Lepisosteus oculatus: one gene and its partner. The protein of the gene in region 1 purifies or fractionates together with the protein of each later gene. This does not show direct contact. Links are inferred from orthologs where the notes say so. Each region holds a gene or a part of one and is shown on either strand. Other genes may lie near its edges.

Evidence for each region.
Region 2: the proteins of tjp1a (region 1) and occludin purify together in Homo sapiens (affinity purification with western blotting; 4 studies listed by BioGRID and IntAct, with this or other methods). This does not show direct contact. The link is inferred for Lepisosteus oculatus from reciprocal best matches to the Homo sapiens genes TJP1 and OCLN.

The regions. Positions count from the first base shown.
Region 1 is NC_090700.1:47,024,867-47,032,983, forward strand, and holds the start of tjp1a (tight junction protein ZO-1), read right to left. Parts: upstream 3,192-8,117; 5' UTR 2,923-3,191; coding exon 2,756-2,922; intron 1-2,755. UniProt on the Homo sapiens protein: TJP1, TJP2, and TJP3 are closely related scaffolding proteins that link tight junction (TJ) transmembrane proteins such as claudins, junctional adhesion molecules, and occludin to the actin cytoskeleton.
Region 2 is NC_090698.1:67,186,860-67,195,087, forward strand, and holds the start of occludin, read left to right. Parts: upstream 1-5,122; 5' UTR 5,123-5,420; intron 5,421-8,228. UniProt on the Homo sapiens protein: May play a role in the formation and regulation of the tight junction (TJ) paracellular permeability barrier.

The DNA of each region.
Region 1 (8,117 bases):
CAGCAGCTGTATGGTGTGATAACGAACCTATGGACAATCATGTACTTCAGCTCTATCTGTCCTTCAGGTTGCCGGAGCTTTAATTGAGTGTAAACTAAGTGCTGCAATCAACTCCAGATACAAACACCGTGATTCATCAAAGGAAAAGTAAACAAGTAGATTGGACACGAAGCCTCAGTGTGGCAACATTATTTCTCATGACCCGTCTACGTTTGTGTGATACCAGTGGTGAAGACAGAATTTCATCACGATAAGAGTCTTTCTATCTTCAAAGACCACTGAGTGTAAGGCATACTGCTCAAGATCTGATTTTGAACATTATATGCAGTATGTTTATGTACAGTGTGTAGACATACAGAAATCGATGTGACAAGCGTAAAGGAAATTAAAATCTCCCCTCCACCCTTAGTGCACTTTATTGAGGCACAGCAGAGTGACCTTACTCAGTTGCGTTGGCTGTCAATTTGCCTTCATTGTGCCTTGGAAGGATTGGCTTGTTTTTGGAGAAGTAGCTCATTCACTTTACCCACCCTGGTTTCTACTCTAGAACAACAAGGCTGCATTGATGTACAAAGGACTCCTTTATTGCAGTAGAGTGCTGAGACCTGATGAACTCACTCTTCTGGTGACCTGATCTGGACACACCTCAAGTTAAAGACTGTAAAAAGCCTGCTGAATAGTAATCTGCCCAGTTAGGAATATGAACCATTAAAAATAGGGGATCAGAATGAGCAGCAGAGGAGGGATGTGCTAATTTAAAAATAAAAACAACTCATGACAAAAATTGATTTAAAAATAATAAATATAAAGAAAGAAAATATGACCACCAACATTTAAGGTCTGCTGCTGGGATAGCCATTTTAATTTTGTTTTGAACAAAGTAATGTGGATGCTGTTAATCACCCAATAACATAAAAGCTCATAGTCAAAGCCCATTGTATATACTGTATGCGATCACATAACATAATGACTGCATTTGCAAAAGTCCTTGATGTGTGATCAAATACTGGTAATATATTTCTTTGTTGGTAACAATCAGATCATTACATGTTGTTAGGGGAGAATTCACGCATCATTTAACAACGGCCACATTATGCTGCAAACTGGAAACAGACATCTGGACATACATTATTGGAAGCTGACATACAATAGGCTTTCTAGTTTAGACCCACTCACAGCAGAATCTGCTAGCCTCTCATTATTCCTTAAGAATATTTTAGAACCTAAAATAAACTTTATCCAAACCTGTGTTAAGACCCAGGGGCTCCTACAGAAACAGTGTCACAATGATAAATCTGTCAACGTTTGCTCCTGATCAGAAATGACAGGCTCCTGTGAGGACCCACATCTCACGAATTTCCCAACAGTCCTTGGGAAATCAGCCTTCCAGACCTTTTCTTTCATATTCTACTTCTTTATCCTGGATATTTGATCACAGATATTATTTAAGATATGCCTGCATAAAACCTGTTGGTCATACTGTATGTATCAGATCACCTGTCAGTATTTTCTGTACACAGAATAATTACACTTGAAATTTCACCTTTAAACAATATGTTCTTGTGAGAAACATTACATTTTATAATAGAATTTTGTCTACAGAAATAATTTGTAATAATGATTCTCATTTTACAGAAATACACTAAAAATACACTAAAAAATGCACCAAAATAAATGATTAAATGATTAAATGATTAGATTAAACATTTGGAAATGGTAAATTATACCAAACATAAAAAACAACAGCAAATGTCAATTTGTTAAGCGAAAAGCATTTCTTCCCACAACTGTGTGATCATTCTAGATTAGTGAGTATGACTCATACAGTTGTTTTTTTAAATACAAGAATTATTATGCTTAGCATGTATTATAATGTTTACTGTAGATATAGCTATATACATAGATAGATGACAACTATAAAATTATTATTGTAATGCTTTAATAAAGAGACTAGTGAGTGTGCAGTCCAAGAACTGTTTCACTTTATTTAACCTTTGAAACTAAATAAAAATAGCAAATGAAGAAAAACACTAGAATTTTTTTATGCCATATTTTATTCAGATTAACTTAATACAGAATGAATTAATATTTTAAGACAGCAGTGCATTATAATTTCCTTTCAACTTAACGATATGCCTGCATTTTAAACACGTATTTAATAAAGAATAACATTTCAATGCAAGTGTATATACACAGGTACATATACAATTGATTTATGTTATGGAAAATATTAATGTGCAGATATAATTGATACAAAGAATTGATCATTACATTAAAATGGAATGCTATTCTACTTCTATTGTGTGATTTTCAAATAACCATCCACCTTATTAGAAACAATTACTGCATTTCCTAGCCAGAATGTACAGCGTTATGCAGAAATAACAATTTTCCTAACATTCCATTTTAATAATAAAAATAGAAGAATGATATCATGCATGCTAGTTGCTAATAAAGGGCAGTGCCTGCTCAGATCCCCCACGCAGACAAACACACTGCCTTCTGCATGTAGACCTCCAGATCTGTGCAATTAAAACAATTGCAGCACGAAACAGAAAGGCAGGCTCGTGTCTGCATCTTATCCAAACAAAAGATGATAGAGTCGCCTTCCCCGACAAAGCTAACAAGCCAATTCTGCAGTGTGAATGGAGCACAATGGCAGTGTGCATCCCTCTCATCATTAGATAACACTGATACGGCCAGTATATTTCTCCCCGGCAGCATCCCATATTTATCCCCTGAAATGCATACTCACCACATCCGTCTTTTATAAGGAAGGAGGTTGTTTCTGTTGGAGGCAGTCACTCCCAAAGCCATCTGCAGAACAGTCAGATATTTCTGATATTTCATTTTGTCCACCGCTTCTACAATTCCACACCACAAGCCAGCGTAGGTAATCATGCAATTTTTATTCCCTGGCATCCGCCTCTTCTGCGTCTCCCTTGCTCAGCATCAGAACGCCATTTCCAGCATAGAGGAACTGACAGGACAAACACTCCCCAAGGAGCTCAACAAAAGGTGCCACGCTGTAGCGCCCCATGTCAACAATGACACTTTAATCTCATTAGCTCTCAGAATAGATTGCTAATCCATTCAATTACAGGCAGGACCTGAACATTGTTTTTTCGCTCCCAGCACTTTTGCTGAAACTCTCGCAATGCCGCGGCGCTGAACGTCCGTGCGTGAGGTAGGCGAAAGAGAGAGAGGGAGAAAAGATGCAAATGAATAATGTAAAGACCTTTCTTTTTTTCTTTTTCCCCCCCGCCCCACCCCACACACTCCCACCGCAGAAGATGCTCCTGGACAGAAGAGCGCTTGTGTCCTTTTTGGAAAATTAAAAAAAAAAAACAGAAGCAGCTGGTATTTAATTGGTGAGCACGTGCTGGGTCTCCCGAACTGAACTGCTCGCCGCTTGGGAGAAGAAGCAGCGAGCAGAGATGCAACTGAAACCTATCAGAGTTCCCACTTGTTAAGGCATCCACATGTTGACTGAGCTGTGCTGCATCCAGCCGGCGGCTTAAGCACAATAAACATGAAAATAAAGGGAACACAAACTGTACCCCATTCACCACCAGCAGGGGGTAGCACTCCTGACTGGAGAGTCAAATTCCTGGAGCACAAACAAACCTGCATCAAATGCTACACTCTTCAGGGTGTGTGCTCTATTCTTAGCTCCCTTAAAATGGGGAAACAGTATCAACACTGAGAAACAAAAACACAATTCTGTGCCATTTCATCAATGGCCACCAGCTAACCCTTTCGCAATCTGCTTAGTGCTCTCAAACAACCCTTATTTAAATGTGCAGGGCTGTAAACATGGTACAGCAGAGCTGCTCCATAGAAACACAGGCTGAGAGCTGTGAGCTGTGCTAATTGGAAAGAACACTGAGGTCCAGGTACTTTTTTGTTCTTTTTGTTCTACCGCAAAAAAAGGAATGATGAAGGAAAAAGGGAGGAGGCTAATCTGACTTGTAAAATGGATTCCTTTCAAACATGAAAATATATGCGTGAATGTGTGCGACTACAAAAAATACATTTCAGGGGCTAGACATAAATTAATAGACACAATCTCTGCCTTAGGAAAACAGTGACGTGCTCTTGCGCTTCGATACTGAGTCAGACATCTGCATTAACTAATTTACACGTCCGACTTCAAATCGCTGTTGACGGATCCAACAGTGGATTGTGAGATTACCAAGCCAATTACATCTAAGACCAAAATGTTTTTTTTTACGTTAGTAAGGGTACCAATCCCCTCTTCCAATCAGATCAGTTGCAAAACCTGTGCAGAAGTCGTGTTACAGCAACACCACACTGTATCTAAATCTGGTTAGACCTCAGCAGCTGAGGAAGGGTGCTGCTGTAAATGGTGTTGGGACACTCCTCCCTCTGGACCATAAAATGCAAATCAATGCCCAAGTGTAGTCCTTCAGATGAGCTGTTAAACGGAAGCTGTGCCTACTCGGTCTTCAGAACACCCAGGACACTGTTTGTAAGAGTGGGCATGTTTACCCCGGCTAATTCCACTTTGGATTTGCACAATCTGATCTTCCCGATTATTTTCTCCTTAATTGACTTGGTGGAGTATTTTCTCACTTCCCCACCTGATTTGCAGTGCAGCCGGGCTGCTGGAGCAGAGTGGATGACGTGGATCCCCCTTCTGCATGTGAAGTGCTTTGGGATCTCTTTTTGGAAAAGCACGATATAATTCCAAGAGAGAAAATAATGAAACCTGTTCTTCCTATTTCTTTAATCAGGTCCAGGGTGCCTAGAAGAAGAGAATCATCCACAGCCTCAGAGGGCGACAAACCAGAATCAACGACTGAAATCTACAAAGAACTCTTTTCAGAAAAGCAGATAGAGGTGGAAGCAGGCAATGCTTTTCTGGAGAGGCTCAAAGCAAGAGTGCCAGAGGAGGTGAGGGAGGACTTGGAGGGCCCGATTACGGCGGAGGAGCCGAAGTAGGCGCTTTGGTCCATATAGAATGGCAAAGTGCCAGGGCCGGACAGACTCCCCAAGGAATTCTACACCTGCTTCTGGCAGATCTGGTGGAGGTGGAACAGGAGATCTCCACCAGTGAAAACCTGGAGACACCCATGAGGGTATGCGTCATCTCCCTACTCTTCAAGGGGAGGACACCGCAGACCTCAAGAACTGGAGGCTGATCACGATGTTCTGCATGGATGTCAAGATCCTGTCCATGCTACTGGCCAGCAGACTGAGGCACGCCCTGCCCCACATCATCAAGAACAAACAGACGTTAGGAAGAGGATGGAAGGGAGATCAGTCAGCTGGAATCTCCAGCTCCGCAGGGACACATTCGCCTGGGCCGAGGACCGGACTCTCCTCCAGCACAACGCAGAGTGGGGAGTGGAGGAGAGGACCCTTGTGGACCTCAGAGGGAGGATGAAGCGCTACGTTGCCAAATAGGGCTTCTCCACAACGAGGGAGCGCTGGAAAGGACTTTGGGCCCTGTACAGGGAAAAAAGTGCAAATCCCTGTTTGCTGAGCTCCTACTTCGTAGTTTCAGAGTCAGGACAGGGAAATGGACAAAAGCAAGTGGTAGGGCTTGAAGGGACTCTTTCATTGTGCAAATCCAGCCCAATCATCCACTTGCACTGATTGATAAAGTAAGAATTCCATTTTACCAGTACATGTACCGGTTACATATGGCAGTAAAGTTCAAGTTCAAGGTTCCGGCACAACTACCTGGACCTGGTCTCCAGCCACATGGGCTGCTCACATTATATAAACTGTACATATATTTAAAGTGCGTATATATATATATGTACTGATAACAACCAACATCTGTGTAAACATTTTGTGCTTAACATTTTCTATGTTGTAGCTTCTGCAGTTTGAGATTAGGTGGAGATTTCCTTAGGCTGCAACCATCTCAAGCAATTCATTTCCTGCCTGTCATAAATCATATGGTTCTGCCCCATAGCATGATTAATAATCATTTGCAACACAAAGATTATATCTGTAGTTATTACATTTAAGCGATCTTGCACTTTGGGATGAATTGTAAAGAAACGTTTTTTTTCTAATCAATACAGTACAAAACAATAGTGTATAGCTGTAATAATCCTGTCACTTGGTTATTGCAGACAACTACAGCCTAGTTTCCCTATGAAAGGAAGAGTGGAAGACTGAATAGGTTTATTCTCACAAGTGATATCTCTTTAGATTTCACAGCATTTTAAATAATGTTGTAACGCATATGGCCGCTTTTGCAGGTTGTGTGAGCCGGCTTACCAGTGCGGTGACGTCAGCCCACCCCTGTGAAGCAGGACCGCAGCTGCCGGGCTGAGGGGAGATTTCCCTTTAGCTCAACTGGCTGCGCGTTCGAGTCCCCAGCAGTTGGGGACCGACCTGAGGCGGCAGCAGCAAGGGCGCATACCCACATGAACCCGAGAGTGCTACAATATTTATAAGGTAGATGTTGTCAGCTATATAGACACTTACTCATAAAAAACACCATAAGCCTGTAAGATGTTCCTTATTAAATCAATATACTGTATCCAGTATGCCCATGTCACCAGCCATAGTACAGATGTGCCATCCTGATGTGCTGTAAAGACACAGCTAATAAGGAAACAGCCCCTGGCTGCTAAATGTGACAAAATTAAGCTAAGAGAGTTAGAAGATGTTTCTGCTTTCTAGGGTTGTAAAAATGGTCAAAGCCAATCATATACAGTATGACATAACAGATACTGACAATAATAGGTTTCAGAGGTTTCAAAATAATAGAAAAATTAACGGATAATGATGGGAAAAAACATACAGGTTATACCTTTGTCCAAAATACCCTGAACCAAATCTTTAATCTTAATCCTGTGCAACACACAAACAGTGGGCAACTGACAAAGTTCAAGCAGAAATTCGCTCTGTGCCATGTTCTTTCTAACTGCAGCTTTTGCTCCAGGTCAAAATAAATAAAATGCTATCAAGCTCAAATTTCTCAGGACAACCTTTCTTTTTAAATGCTCCTTCACTCCAATATTTCAGAAGCTGGTCTACCAACTAATCCTCCTCCACTGCGCCCTTTTTGGCCCAGGGATAACAGTTCCATCTTCACTGTGCTCCCCTTTACACACACCACTGCTTTCACAGAGCCCATGCGAACGCAGATTATATTTTAGCACTCCTCAAGTATATTTATTGGGTTATATGCAAGTCAATGGACACTGCCCCCACTGCGGGCTAAAGCTGTCCCTGGAGCCCCTGCAGACCTGGGGTTTTACTGGACAGGTCTTGGCACGTTGTGGGCAGACGTTTATTAACCATTCTGTTCAAAAACACAGAACCTGACGCCAGAGCCCGATGGGATGTCAGTGAATCTTGAATCCTTGCAAAACTCCTGTCACTTTCTCCTGGTCTTAGAATCTAACGTCTGACTTTATGATCATTATTTCTTTCACGCATATCGATGATGGCAACAGAAATCTAGTTTGTCAAAAATCTTGACCCCTAGCCAAAGCAGAAAGCATGTACAGTACATGCTCCAAACCGGCAATGAATTTATATCAAATAGCTTTTAGAGATAAAGATTAACTGTGCTAATAGGAGCTAAAGTATGTTTTACCACCATTTCAACTGCTGACACCATTGCAAACCGATGTCTATGACATACAGTACATAAGAGAATCCATGTGGCAGGGAAAACGGAAACATTTTCATGCATGTCTCCATGGAAATTAAACCTCAGACCTATAGGTTTCACTCAGAATCTCATTTTAAGAACCAATTTACTCTCTCCTACAGTGGAGACAGTCCTTTGACCCTCATTCACATTTCACATGGCTTTGCAGTTTTCCAGTTATTCTTCATAAAGAAAATTAACCCTTGATAGAGATTTCACAAATGACATGGCTTCATGGACCTAAAACAATACAAGAGGCATCCGGATTAGAAGTACAAAATCTACAGGGTATCAGACAGTAGAACAAAAAATGGATTATGACTTAAAAAAAATAGCTTATACTTTCTTTGGAAAGATAGGAAACGGAATCTCGTCAGAAACACATTATTGGGGGTTTCACTCTGGTCCCAGCAGCAGACCCCAGCAGGGCAAGGACACAGGGAAAGAGGTGTGGTGCTGCACTGTGATTTAT
Region 2 (8,228 bases), on another chromosome or scaffold:
GGAAGAGTTTTAAATGCTGCTAAAATGTTTTTATTCACAACAGTGAAGGGTTACACATAACCAAGTCCAAGTCAATAAACACAACAAAAAAAAACACATAAAACTAACACCGTCCTCTTTCTTTGGAGTCCTAGCAACACTTTACAAGACACCTGTCTAAGGCAGGGGTCCCCAGTCCTGTTACAGGAGGGCCTGTGTGTCTCCAGGTTCTCTAGGCCTCTTGAAAGTACCGTTAGCTGACGAGCGCAGATTTAAGAAGGTTCCACAGCAGAAACGTTGTGTTTCTTTTCTTTATCTTTCAGCATGGAGTGAACCTTTACCTGTTTCTTTGAAATGGCCTGAAAGAAAACTTGTGTATGTTTTATGAACCAGGCAACCCATTGGTTCAGTTATGAATTCAGTCAAGCAAACGGCTCAGCTGCAATGAATACCAGCAGGTGTTGGCGTTGTCACGATATTAGTTCCCCCTCCTTAAGGGTGCTCCAGCCCTTTCACTAAAGACTCTATTCTATGCACCTGCTCCCTATTCCCAGCCCACCTTAAAAGCCAGGCGCTGACGCTCTTCCGGGCTCTGCATCTGATTTCCATATCGTGCGAGTCCGGGACCTGGAAGCGCCTGGTCCCGTTAAGGTTTTAACCTCCGTTCCCATTCCGGTTCCGACCCGGCCTTCATGGTTTTTAACTTGTTCTGATGGATCTTCTGGTTTTGGACTTTCTCGTGTGTTTTGGATATTCCCTAAGGACTACTCTCTCGGATTGTTCGCCTCGGCCACACTCCCCTGTGCACCAGCGCACCGTGGACACGCCCCCCTGTCTTCTGCCCCGTATTCCTGCATGACGTTTCCCTAGTGTTTCCCCACTCCGTCGGATTGTGTCATCTGCATAGGGTCCGGAAAGAACTGTTCGTTACAGGCGTCCCCAGAACCAGGACTGGAAATCCCTGAATCGAACCAGCCCTGGTGGACCCGAAGAGCTACACAATTACAGAGAACTCAGATCACCCCACCCTTGGTCCTACTGGTGTTGTGTAGTTCAGGGCCTCATGAGCCACAGTCTCCACTGATGTTCACTCTACCAAAGCTCTTAATTAGTTAGTTGAATCAAGCATTGATTTAATATCTACTAAAACAAACGGTTTCCACGTTTCTATTCACTGGTGAGTGTGTGAGCTCCCTCTGAAACACAGAGCTGTGTCTTACAACAAGTGAGGATCGCTGATGTAGCAGAAGACTGGCATTCAACAGACTGCCTACCATTACAGTACTGAGAGCAAATTTCAAAGCATTTGCTTGGCGGTGTTCTTGCTTTGCCCGTGTTGCTGAAAGTCCTTTTTTCGGTTCTGCTTAAATAGATGCTTTCTGTGTTGTTTTTGTGGTAGCCTACTGTTATTGAAACATAATCGCACCTTGGCATTGCAAGAAATGTTCAACAGCAGCCACTCCTGTCTTGTTGTGTTTTGTAAACTAACTTGTAAATAAACTTCTACATTTTGACTACAAACAGTGTGTGGTAGATATAGTAGAATATCGATAAATACTTCTGTAGAGATGTTTTCATACTGGACTTGCCTTATATTTGTTTCACTAAAAACATATTTTTCAGGGGTTTTTGGTTTACTTTACCTAAAGTTCAGCTCAGTCTGATTTTTGAATACCACAGAAAGATTCCCCACAGTCACTTAAGAAATGTTTGCCTTAAACGTGAAGTACTATATAGAAATGATCAGCATAGTCTTTTCCCCACATATATTTAATGCCTCCCTAGCTTTTTGTCAAATAAAGAGTCTTGGCAAAGATTTTAAAGAAATGTGGATTGGTTGCTAAGCAGGAAGTACCTCTTTACACAAAGCTACTCAAATCTACATCCATACCAAACCTGACACTGACCTGGCTGTCTCTTTTCTGTCTAATCGCATCTCCGCCATCAAAAACATGGATGTCTCAAAATGTCCTTCGTCAAACTGTGACAAGACTGATGTCATGCTTATTGGCGCCCCCATCAGCTTTGTAAAGCCAAGGCTGTACTTGAACGTCAGTCTAAATGGAAAAATTTGGGGGTGATATTTGATTCAGGCTAGACATCCGACCCACACGTGCAACATATCAAAAACATTTTCTTTCACCTCAAACATATCGCTAGACTATGTCCTATGTTATTGCTACCTGTGGCTGAAAAGCTGATCAACACATTTGTCTTCTCCCGGATCGACTACTGTAATGCTCTACGCGCTGGGGTTTCTAAATCCACACTGAACAAAAAACTCCAGTGTGTCCAAAGATTTGGCAGCCAGAATCCTGACCAGGTCTAGTGCAAGTGATCCCATTACTCCAATCCTGGAGTTCTTGCACTGGCTTCCTGTCAAGTTTCATGTCGACTTCAAAATCCCCATGCTCACCTATAAGGTGTCAAATCCCACACTTCTCCTCGCAAACGCCATGGCATTCCCAAACCCACTGTTTCACACACTCATTCCCACGGAAACCACCACATTCACACATGCATCCGATTCCACAGACTTTCACTCCTGAACCAATTATCCAACCACATCTCTCTCCCTTCAGTATTCAAGCTTCCCTCAGTTACCAACCCACGCACACGATGGAGAAGCTTCCCTTAGAGTTCTCTACTGATTTTCACAGTTCCTGGACTAAACTCTTCCCTTATCAACTTCACTACTTGGATACTGCTTCTCGGATTTCTTGCCCTCGTTTGGATTACCCTGGTAACCTGACTCATTGCTACTTCTCCCGACCTAGCCTCAGGAATCCATGCCTCGGATTAAGTTCTAGTGCTACTCTGCATTCCGCAGAGTTCACGGCATCGCATGGGATCCTCCTACTCAACCTATCAGTTCCTGACATAAGGCTTGGCATGGCTTGGCACCTCAGTACCTGTGTGAGCTACTATAGCCCTACTCCTCACCTCACAACCTTCGCTCTTCTAATTGTGGTCTCCTACCTGTCCCCCAAGCCCATCTACACTCTGAGTGACAGGGTCTTCTCCTGTTATGCCCCAAAGCTCTGGAACTCTTTCCCCAGGAATATCAGAGAGTCACCTTCTCTAAACTCCTCAAAACCCTTCTTTTTTGGAAGAGCCTTTACTTAACTGGTTCTGTTCTTCACCCCTCTGCTCCTGCTGTACTCAGTACCTCCATCTACTGTCTCCTCTCATTGTGTATTCTCAGTGTGTACTGTATATGTTATATTTTTTCATTTTTGTTTTTATTGTTCTATAAAGTGCTTTGAGAACCCACTTTTAAAGGCGCTATATACAATAAAGCCACATGTCGAAAAGCGAAAATACGAATACGAAAAGCCACATGTCCTTATCTATCTTAAGAATTATTTCTATGTCCTCAGCACCATTTTCTCCACAACACATGTACTGAATCTAGGATTCTGCTATCCATGCTTTGTTTTTACTCAGCTGGCCGCAGAGTGGAATTGGGTCCTATATTTAAATCAATTATGGGTGAGATTCTCTGATGTACAGGTGTGAAAAATTAATAACTGATGGTTTTTTTAAAGCTTTTAGCCAAATATCATTTTTAATAATGCCACTATTTTTTTCTTACAAAATTGCGTAAACAACTTGTCAGTAAATTTATTATCAAAACCCTTCATGAAATTATTTGACTATCTTATTACGATGGATTGCAAACCACACAGACTGGAACAATGGTGTTACTGTACATTTCTACTGCCTTTAAGTTCTCCAGATGCAAATACATGCTGATTTGTTGTCCCATTTAACTGTCACGGTAGTCATGTCCTGTTTTGCAGTTATCAAATGCATTCTTTGCTGTGAAGCTCAGCTAGTCTATGTTGCTTCAGCGGCATATTGTTCGGATGCAGAGCGAGGGAGGAGTTGATACTGTATAGAATAATACCACACAAATACCCCAGGGCAACTTTCCACACTGTCAAGCTGGATCATTGGTAAGTCGTGTTGGTGGACCAGCAGATGTACAATCGTTGTTCATTTGAGACATTAAGACAAGATCCTGACTTTTGGTCCTTAAAGACCCTCTGGTCCTGTTCACAAAAGGGGGGCCTACCACATAAGAGTTCAGTATAAACACCTCTGTTTTGGAATTGGATCAGATCAGTTGGATTTCATTTAATAAATTATTCTGAATTGTAATTCCATGTATTTATGTTAACTGCTTTCTTAGATACAATTACAATCCAAATACATATTTGTAGATGCTGGTGGATGCTGCACATTGGTGGTGGTAGAGGGGAGTCCCCATTACCTGTAAAGCGCTATGTAAGTGAAAACAATTATTATTATTATATCTATTTTATCTACATTTTTGGAACCCTAAAACGTTTTCCGGAAAGAAGAAGTTACGAGAATTAAGAACAGGAAAATGATTTGATATAATTTTTCCACCTGTAAAATCTTGGATTGTTCAAATATCGTCTGCAAGAGATGCTGCTTTACTCTCATAATCTTTGCTGTTTGGACAAGACGGGTGACTTTTTTTTTATCTTAATTGGACCAATACATGAGCAATCCACGCTCTCGATTATAGCACGGTAAAAGACGAGCATTCCCTTCCAACTTCACTCTTAATCTTCGCAAAAATACAAACTCTCAATTTGAGTAGTCCAGCTCAGGTTGCTGTAAGATCACAATCAGAGGTTCCCAGTTTTGCTGGTTAAAACTTTTTCTGCAGTTGTCAGCAAGAGAGTAGTTTCTGTCTCGTGATGTGGCAACGGGAAGAAAGACGTTCATGAAAGTTTACTTCACCACTACAGCAACCAAACGACTGCGCATCGAAGGGAGTGTTTCGAATAAACATTCAGATCAAATGTATTAAAACCTACGTAGTGACGAGCATGTTTCTCATGTATGAAAATATGTTAACAGGAATGTGACAAGTGGACGGCTGCCATCTTGAAAATCTGACACGATTGTTTCTATCGATTTCACATTATAGAGTTAAAATGCCTAGGGCTCCCGGTACCAGTACAGATTACGGTTTCGTTGCTTTTATCGTTTTCTCTATTCTTAACCAGCACAGTTATTCAGCTGTGTAATTGAGGAGTGTTAATTAGAGGTACTGAATCCTGCAATTACAGGTAGTCTAAAAAATATCTCCGACAAAAACACTCCACCTACGCGCACAGAAAGTTAACCTGCCAGTATCTACCAGGGGAACCGGTTGGTGTGCTTTGTTATGAATCCAGGTTTGGTCTACGGCGGGGTGGAAATCAAGCCTGACATCACCAATGAGGAACAAGTAAAGGTTTATTTGATGCTGAACAGAGAACCGTTTCGGGATCACCAATGACGTTGCAGACAGGAGCAGCACCAGTCCTGTGAGTCTCTGAGAGCAAGGTGTGTCCTGCGCCAGTATTGGCATACGGGTTTTAGCAGACACAAGGCAGGTGTGGAAATACTGAAGAGGTTTGGTAAGTTTATTGCTTATATATTGTTACGAGTATACGTACAACACGTATTTTATACTTATATTTTGTCTTGTTTAGTAGGTTAACATCAGAGAAGTACATCTGCGGGTGTTTTGTTTTTGTTGTTTCTATTGCCGGTGGCGTTTTCTCCACGTTGTTGTAATATTTTCTTCATGTTCTTTACCTAGTAAGGTTGATTTTTCAATTGAGATAAGAGAAGAAAAAATGTTCCGTTTTTAAAAAACAGGTCAAAATACTGCAGCGAATTATTATTTTTTTAATTGTAAAGTTGCCTTGCCGTAGACGATTATAATTTAACTCGGTAAAATGGTCGTTTTCCTGTCGGAGGCACCACTGAAAATGCTGGTTGTGTTCTGAGAGAATGTAAACATGATTTTCCTCGTTTCAGAAACGATTTGTTTCAGGTTTATTTCAAACGTACACCTGAAAACGTTGCGCAATGGACGAATTTCTGTTTTAGTTTCTTTGCACAGGTGTTTTGTCTTCAGGTATGATAGAGACTGGGCGGGTTTTAATAAACTAACGTCATCGTATTAATCTTAATAAAACTGCCTACTCTTGTTCTGTTCAAACCTGGTTAATCTGAATGGTGTTTTGTATGGCGAACCGAACATATACAGTATTTTAAAAATGGGTAGGTTTCACAAACTTAATGTCCATACGGGGTTATTCACGTTGCCTCTCCTCATTTTTAATTGAGCTTTTGAACTACATATTAAAGAATAAAACGGCTTCGCATTATAAACTGGAGCAGATATGAAATAACCTGTTTCTGAGGTTTGTTACCTGATTTATTCGGTTTTTGTTCAGTGATTGAAAAATGTCGAAAACTTTATTTAAGCTATTTGTTGACACGAGTTGCCTATAATTACGCCAGAGAAATTTGCCAGTTCTCAATATTATTTGCGAGATCTCATTCCTAAAGAAGAATATTCTAATAAGCTTGTAGTGTCAAAACAACGGATCGAATATGACTAATCGAAATTAAAACTGACGGTAGAAAAACCACATGTTCGAAACTACCAAATTTCCAGTTGGACAACTTAAAGCTTATTTGATATTAATTGCGTTTCTTAGATCTCTCCCAGTTCAAAGTGTACATTTTTAGTAATTGGAGATCCGCATACCCTTTTAACTCCCTTTCATTTAGTGAATTGCGTTACAAACGTTTATTTGTGTTATCTTATGGAGGGCTGTTTTATGTTGAGCAGTAATTCATATTTTTATCGCCTAGAGAGCGTTCTCAGATCCTGATTAGCTTTATGAAGATTTTACTTTTAGTTTTCGGGTTTTGCAACATAACCCAGATACAACCACACCTTTTCATCCTTCGCGCTCGGTATTCACAAAAAACACAGTGTTTAGATATGATGATCATGCGTTAGCTTTTATTAAAAAATATATATATATTTTCCCGTTTCAGATTGTTAAATAATAAATGTTTAGTTTCTGTACACCAATTCAAACACTAAGAAGAGTAAATGTCTGACGCATAATTTCTGGTACAAACCTTAATACGTTACTGTGTGTCTGTTCCTCACAGATGTGTTAAAAATTGTATATTTAATTTTTCTTTCATTATATGAAATATCAAATTCCTACTTCTGTAGAATTATTTTAAAACATAAACACTGTGGAATGTTAAAATGTCCACATTAAGGATTTTGGTTATATGGACAGTGGTAATAGTTTTGTGTTCATGGAAAAGTAGGAGAACATTGTTTAGTCAGTGGAAAAATGCAATATACTGTGGTTTGAAAATTCAAAGACTATATTAATGCAGAAATGTTAAAATATTTTGGAATGTGTTTTTAGAGGTCAGCTGTAAGCTATGTATTACACCTAAAGAAGGCTCCACAGCTGAAACATTGTGTTTTCTTTCTTCTCTTTTCAGCATGGAATAAACCTATTACTTGCAGCTGTGTTTTATTCATATTTATTATTCATGGAATAAACCTATTCCTTTGCAGCTATAGATTACTACTTTTCTGCTGAAATAAAACTTGAGTGCTAGTAAATGACTAATACATACCTTTTTATATATCAGGGAAACTTGGCACATATATGTGTGCTGAATTTCACCTTGGGATTGCACAATCTCTTACATAAATGTATTAATTCAGTAGGTGAAATAATATCTTACTCCTGTGCTTTGTACTGGGTTCGACAGTGTGTCATCCACCCAGATGGGTCCTGTAATTCAGTAATGGATAAAGTGTCCCTACTGTACTGTCTTTAAGTCACTTTTGACTTCACAAATAATAAGGATGAAAAGCACAATACAATGGCAGACAATTCCTATTACTGATGACAGTCACCTCACGGGTAACTCACAAAAGTACCTAGCTAACGTTTATATAGACGTTATCCATTGAAGTGCTAGTGTGTTACTCATAAAGGATTAAGACATGGTTTATAGGAGACTCTTAAAATAAAGTGTTACTTTATTTTTATGTGCTGGCAAAAGCCTGATCATCAGAATTTGCAAAGTATGCAATTGTCTTTTGCGTTCTAAAATATCAATCAATCAATTATTGTTTGTTTTTTTTCAGCCATTAGGGTTTGGAAATTCACCTGTTGGGCTGTCCTTGCTGAGAATTTACTGACACGGCAGCTTTATTTTTCAAACTTGAGAATTTGGGGGGAATTTGCAGGGTAGCTCTGCCCTTCAAATGAGTTTTTGAATTTGTTCTAAAGCACAAAGTTGTGATGGACAGTCTACGTTGTACTGGTGAACGTTGCAACGTTGCTGGCGCACTCTGGTACACTGAAACATCTGCCACAGTGGTC